Arabidopsis thaliana: one gene and its partner. The protein of the gene in region 1 interacts with the protein of each later gene in a pairwise test. Each region holds a gene or a part of one and is shown on either strand. Other genes may lie near its edges.

Evidence for each region.
Region 2: the proteins of GPT (region 1) and AT2G01680 interact in a protein complementation assay, tested with the Arabidopsis thaliana proteins (one large-scale study listed by BioGRID).

Annotation. Positions count from the first base shown.
Region 1 is NC_003071.7:17,299,425-17,303,182, reverse strand, and holds the start of GPT (UDP-glcnac-adolichol phosphate glcnac-1-p-transferase), read right to left. Parts: upstream 1,612-3,758; 5' UTR 1,422-1,611; coding exon 1,039-1,421; intron 961-1,038; coding exon 873-960; intron 785-872; coding exon 693-784; intron 604-692; coding exon 485-603; intron 377-484; coding exon 261-376; intron 172-260; coding exon 44-171; intron 1-43.
Region 2 is NC_003071.7:304,594-308,351, reverse strand, and holds the start of AT2G01680 (Ankyrin repeat family protein), read right to left. Parts: upstream 2,102-3,758; 5' UTR 1,756-2,101; coding exon 1,434-1,755; intron 1,297-1,433; coding exon 887-1,296; intron 792-886; coding exon 1-791.

The DNA of each region.
Region 1 (3,758 bases):
AAAAAAAAAAAGTTTTAAAGAGAAAGCCTGCTAGGGATTTTACCAATTGTAAGCAAGCATTGCCAAGGATGTGGCCATCAGCGGTTGAGTAAGAAATATCGAGAAGGCATGAGCTTGGTGATACTCGGGATCAACAGATGCTCCGATTTGCATAACGTTGTGTATCAGGATCTACAGGTAACTGGGATGCATCATATCTCAACCCAAAAGAAACAAAATGAGAAAAATTCAGAGACATTATGTATGACCATAAGACTTACAGCAGCGGCAATAACAACTGTTTGACCGATTTCAAGGCCATTCAGACCAGCGTGGATGTTAATAGAGTTTGTACAAAAGACAGCAAGTAGCCCCATATATAACTTATATATCCTTCCTGCCACGTTAAAACATCTATTGAGCTAATCATAATCATTTACCTCCTCAAAAGAAAAATACAAGTCAATGTGTACAAATAGGTGGTATCATGTACAAGAACCATTACCTAGATTAAGCACTTCCAAGCCAATATAAGCAACAAGAGGTTTTGGTATAACAATAGTTGTATGACCAGCATAAGCCATCAAAAGTGGAAGGGTAGCAAAAGATGGCAGGACAAGCTTTCTGTTGTTTAAATTGACAACAGTAAACATGTGAATCAAAAACGATAAGCGTGAATTTCATCAAAAAAATATGTAGGAATTAGGACTTACACTCTCCAAGGCACATCAAGGACATCATCTACAAATCCAAGCAAAATCATGAAGCAAATAGATGCTAGTGCTGCATTATACTCCACAAGCCACTGCACAGAATCATCAGCCAGACTCACAAACATTGATAATGAGAATAACCACAGAGATTAATAAAACAAGACGTTAATGCACACTTACATTAGAATCTTCAGTGAAGTTAAAATACTGAAATATTATCGCCACGATCAAAAAGACAATACCAACAACAATACCCAATGACTCTGGCCTGAAAACAAAGAGGATGAAGAAATTTTAATCAAACTAATCTTAATCTTTGGAAAATCAGAGATTGATAAAAACTCACACTTTAATATCTCCTTGAGGCGTGCCTCTTTTGTTGATATCAAAACCAAACATGTTACGTCTCAGAACGTATCTGGCAGTAACAGGAATCATTTTGAGAGTGACGAAAAACCCAACCAAGCTAAGCCCCGCGTTAATTAGAATCGATCGCTTGAGCTCATTATCAACCTTGTAGTGAAAACAGAGAAGGTATAGATAGAGCGAACAGAGAAGAGTAGAGATCACGAAGATCACTCCTAATTTCGGCGGCGCGAGACGAAATTCCTCACCGGAAGCAGAAACCGTCTTTCGGGTCATCTTCTGCTCCGATGGCGCTGAGTTGGGTTCCGACGGGTCCGGTTTGTTGGGAATTGAGATCGATGAAGCTCTCTTACGAGCTGCCATGGCGGATTTGTTGGCTCGTTTCGTTTCCCCGCGCTCTGGATTTTGACTCCAAACTCCGTTCGCCTGAGAAAGGATTCTTCAGAGCAATTCCCGTTCTGCGTCATATAGACCAATAAGGATTTGCCACGTCGCTTCAAATACGACACCGTGTCATCGAAATAGAACTTTATGGATTAATCATAACTTTAATTATTCGTATTAAGTACAAGAATATATCTTGGATTATACTTATAGAACTCTCTTTTTTTAAGAAAAAAATGCATAAATTTTGCTAAGAATTTTGTTGTAGCAACACATCAGCATGACATAAAGCAACTATTAAAAATTAAAACTAAAACTTATATTTAAAAGATTATGTAATAATATAGTTATTAATTAATAGTCATAATTTTTAACAAAGTTTCTTTTAATATAAAAATTGACATAGAAAATTATTTATTTTGAAGATTTTTTTATTGATAAGATGAAGAAGATGATCCATGCGACATTTGCTCACTAGTTACGCTTCCATCATTGGGAGCTTTGAGATGATCATTTTGAAGAAGAACATTCAGATGAAATCTCTGAAGAAGACGTAGTGCTCACAGAAGAAACTTGCACACTACTTTCTTTATCCGTAGAAGTTTGAGAGCTACTAGAATTATCACTATTTTCATCTTTTGTTACACAACTACACCAGTTTCCCATTAATGTCCCTACAAACATAATAAAAAATGTTAAAGTTGCTAAATTATATCTTAGTTTTTTTTGTAAGTGTTTTCAAATTAACTGAATAGTACTTATTGGTCTGTAGGATCAGTTTCGAAAATGCAACAACCCATTGTAATTTAAAATAAGTTTTTGTAAATGTACCTTAGCTTGAATCTCCTCAGAGTTTGTTATGATCTCTAGCTACACAATTCATCTTTTTATAGTGAGAGAAAAATATCTCAAAATTCAATACAAAATCTTTTACTATTAATTACTTTTTTTTTTTACAAGATCGAATCGACCTATTATTAGAACTTGGATGCATATGGATCATGATTTATGTCACAAAAGTTTTGTGATATTTAATCATAATCTAAACATTTTCTATGTCTTCTACTATATTTTGACACTTGTGTGTAAGACATAAATGGTAAGAGGAAATATTATTGATAGTGTTTTTTTTTTTTTGGATTTGGGTCAAAAATATTGTGGGGGGAAGCCACGTGTACAAATAAAAGTAAAATTTAGTTAAGACAATAAATATGAGAGTTAATGTATGTATCTTAGAAACAAAAAAAAAATATTAAGTATGAAATATAAGGAAAGATATAGCAAAAAAAGTAAGAATAAATCAACATCTTATTATATAAAATATGGTTTTCAAAGTTATTAACTCATAAGATTATGCCACGTGTCAAGTCTATCGATCAGATGTTGCCATGTGTAAGAAAATAATTAACCATTTTCTTCTTAAAGAAATAGAAATACTAAAAAATAAATTAATTAACTTTTTTCTTCTTAAAGAAATAGAAAACTAAAAAATAAATCATTATTAACATATACTAATTCATATTTCTATATCTAAAAAATATTACATTTTATTTTTCTTAACCAAAAGAAAAATTAACAAAAAAAAATCTTATTATATAAAGTATGGTTTTCAAAGTTACTAACTCATAAGATTATGCCACGTGTCAAGTCTATCGATCAGATGTTGCCATGTGTAAGAAAATAATTAACTTTTTTTTTCTTAAAGAAATAGAAAACTAAAAAAAGAAATCATTATTAACATATACTAATTCATATTTCTATATCTAAAAAATATTACATTTTATTTTTCTTAACCAAAAGGAAAATTAACAAAAAAAATATATATATATGTTATTGGTCAAATTTTTAATATATATGGTATTAACAAATGTTTTATTATTATGAATTATGTTTTGTTAATTGTTAATAATTTTTAATATTAACTAAGATATAGATTTGATCTTATATATATATATTATTTTGACATGAAATCATTATCAAGTAAGATGAAGTGTGTAAAATTAAAATCGAGTTTTTTATGAAATAGATAGTTAAATTGTATTACAAAATTGAATGTATAAGATAAAATTTTATTTTTTCTTCTAAATACTAAATTACAATAAAGAAAAAGTGTGTAGGTTACTATTTAGACTTCAAATATCATCAATAAGATTGAATGGGTATAACAAAATAAAATGCATAAGACTACTATTTTACTATTCAAAATTATATATCAAGAACAATGTATCGATTATTATTTTACTATTCAAAATTTAAATATTATCGATAAAAATTACATTTACATCTTATACCCGCTTATTTAGGCGGGCTTTATCT
Region 2 (3,758 bases), about 17 Mb from region 1:
GACTTACTACTCCCTCTCCTAATCCTTCTCTGTGAATCGTTGCCGCTCCTAAACCGCTGCCGAAACACGAAATAACACATACTTGCCAATGTCCCTACCAAGATCGGTGCTCCAAGCAACGTTATGGTAATCGCCATCCACGAGTTCCCCTTTCCAACAACCGCAAATGCAATCGCCAAAAATGCTCCGAATGTGCAAGCACAAGCTGCCCACATTAGCTTATTCACTACAGACACAACTTTCTTCTGCGCCCGTGTGTCCCACGCCACCAAAGTTATTTGAACTACCACAACCGCTAACGATATAAACAGAGATGTCGCGTTTAAAAGACAGAACACGCGGAATCCGGTTCTCCCTGCAATATTGGCTTGTCCCACATGCGACCCCTCCGTGAAATACTGACCCGGCAAGTTGAATATGGCCAAGAACGCTATGGAAGCAAACAGAACCGCCACTACCGTTATGGAGTTAGTCGTGTTCTGAACCGCTTCTCTGTGGAGTTTCCTCAGCTCTTTCGCGATCCCAGAGACACGACGGTTGGTTTTCTCATTCTGCAAAAGCTGCGATTGCACCTCGTGTTTGATATCACTCACTGCTCGCTTCAATGCTCTCGCCTCATCTTCTCGACCAATGAACCTCCCATGCTTAGCCCCAGCTTCTACCAAAGCCTCATTGATCTCCAAAGCAGATTCGCTATATTGCAGCTTATCCGCCAAATCCATAGCAGTTTCTTTCTGGTTGTTAATCGCATTCACTTCAATCGCCGTAAAGGTCAGCAATAAGCTCGTTATCTAATAAACAAAACACAAAAGGCATTTATGTGTCAACCCCTGTTCTTGAAAGCTAACTAGCAATACAAGAAGCTAAGAAAGGAGTGGAGTAATACCTGTGGCCGCGCCTTTCGAGTAGCAATATGCAAAGCAGTGTTCCCTTTTCGATCTCTCTCATTCAATATTGTGTAATCAGCCTGCAAAATCTCTTCGACTACTTCCAAACTTCGTCCTTTAACAGCCATGTGAAGAGCAGTCTGACCTTTCTTATCTTTAACACCAACAATCGCTGCGTCTTTCTCTATGAGAGCTTTCACTATCCGAAGAAGCCCGTACCTTCCCGCAGTGTGCAAAGATGTTTTCCCGTTCTTTCTCACAATCATTGCACAGCTAGGATCAACATCAAGCATTGCATTTACTATTTCTAAGTGATCTTGAACCGCAGCTGCGTAAAGCGGACTCGTGTTGGAAGCGTCGCAGATTCTGCAAAGCTCTGGCCATAGTCTCAGTAACTCCTTCACAATTCCTGGAGATCATAAGCAGAGCCACATCAAAATATCTTCAAACTACGAAATTCAAATCCATTTTCAGCAATTTCAGATTCAAAATCATAATCAGAGAGCCAAAGTTTGAAGATTTGAAGTCAGAATTAGTGAGACATACCCAAGTGACCTCGCTTGGCAGCGACATGAAAAGCGTTCATGTCGGATTTGGATCTGATCTTAACTGTTTCCAAACTAGAAAACCTAATCAAGTAACGAAAAATGTCTTCAAGATTCTCTGCGGCGGAGATATAGACGGCGGTCTCTCCGGCGTCGTTTTGCACAGACATAAGCTCAGCCACAGCAGAACACGGCGATGACTCATCGATTAGCTCATCTCCGGTTAAATTGTCAACTAACTGTTGAAGTTGACTAAGATCTCCTGATCGAACAGAGGAAAAGAAAGCTTGGTGAGTAAGAAACTTCATCTGCTTCATCTCCATCTCTGTAAAGCTCTGTCCTTTCTCTCTCTAAACCAAAAAAAGTTATCAACTTTACACAGACCCAGTACTCTCTAGCTCTATCTCTAGAAAGCTCAGCCAAAACCCATCAACATGAACAGATTCGATCTCCAAAAAGTCTTCTTCTTTATTTTTAGTTATGCTTTGCAATGAAATTGGGATTCATGTGAAACCATGTTTGGTTCTTTTGCTTTAAAAAAAGAACAAAATTCTTTAAGGTTTTTGCTTTTGTTGGAGAGTTGACACTAAAAACTAAAAAGATGATAAAATGGGAATCTTTTTTTTCTTCAATCAAAACCTGAATGGTCTCTAAATTTCTCCTCTCAATAATTCGTTTCTCTGTATTTTAAAATGTATTTTTTTTCCAATTTTGACGAGACAGCAACATTATTTCTCGAAACAAATTATTTGTCTTTTTAAAATAATTTATGTACTATATAGTCTATAGATAACGTATATGGACCGTTGACAGTTGGAATTATATTTTAATTCTGGAAATATTTAAAATGACATGTTATTTTCATGTAAATATATTTTTCTTTTACCGTTTTAGATTTATTATTTATTGCAAATTATGATTTATGAGAACCGTTATATAGCCGATTCTATTATGGGTAATTTGTTTCGATCTTTATTAGATCCACGAAAGACGACACTTTCTTCTCCGTCTTCATGCTTTTGATGGACACCTTGAAAGATCTTCAAATCCTGGCAAACAGTTATAATTGTACATCGTTCGAGATCTCTTGCACACTTATCTCCATTATCTGCTAATAAATCACAGTATTTGGGACTTGAACCTCAATTTCTTTGTGTATAAGTATTAATAGAACTTTCCGCCAAAAAGGCTTCCACTGTAAATATATCATTACTAATATAGAAAAAACTTTAAAAAAATAAAAATAAAAGAGTGAAACCGTCCAAGCCCAAGTACAGCCCAATTATTTATATATTAAAAAATGGGTTTATATAATACGTGGCTTCTGTTTTGTAAAAAGACATGTTATTATGGGCTTGAAGCCCATTATATTTTTAATAACTAGCAAACTAAACGGTCCTTTTTGTGTTTTGTGAGAGCTACTTCATGTTGACGTCAATAATGCACCGTCAAAGTCTCCGTGACGGAACCACCACCGACCCAAATGACCGGCATCACCGTCAACTTCTTCGTCACCATTAGCTTTCATATAAGTCTAAATTCATTTTATTGCTACGTTGATAGTCCTTTTTTGTATATAACGTTTTAACATTTTATCGATAGTTTCAGAAAATTAAGAATACCATAATGAGTATGAACTATGATTCTTATGGTTTATTTTAGATATATAGAAGACATAGCTAATCAGTTCTTTGACAGTAATACAAAAATGCCTAAAATTTTTATGGATTAAGAGAGAAAGAAATAAAATTGACAAACAAAAAAAAAGCTACATTCCAGAAAAGGATTAGGTTGCAAGTGAGACACGTCGAAAGATAGTGACTGTAATATTTGGATTTTATCCACAAACCAACCAAAGTAAAACAAAATTCAATTAATTTAAATTATCATATTGTGGAAATTTAAGTGTTCTAGAAAAAAACATATAAACAATGACTTTATCTTACATTAAATATGTATAAGTAAACTTTGAAAAAGATGTGCCCTTCAAAGTCTTCGAAATCCTACTTGGATCCAATACATAGAAACTATTTATAAAGTATATTATATACACAGTTTTGTATTTTTGCTACAAATCATTTACAGTTTTATATAAGAATAATGTGAAACAAAAATTTATTTGTCAAATTATCAATTAATTACTAGTTAGAAATAATAACATTAAATACATTAGAAAATCTATAGTTTGATATTTATTGGAAAATATATATTAATTACATGCACTGAGGGTCCTTTGTTATATACTTTATTAGTATATATCTGACGTCAATAATTTTTTTTTCTTATTAGTTGGGTCCCATATATTTGTATAAACTTGACTCTAACC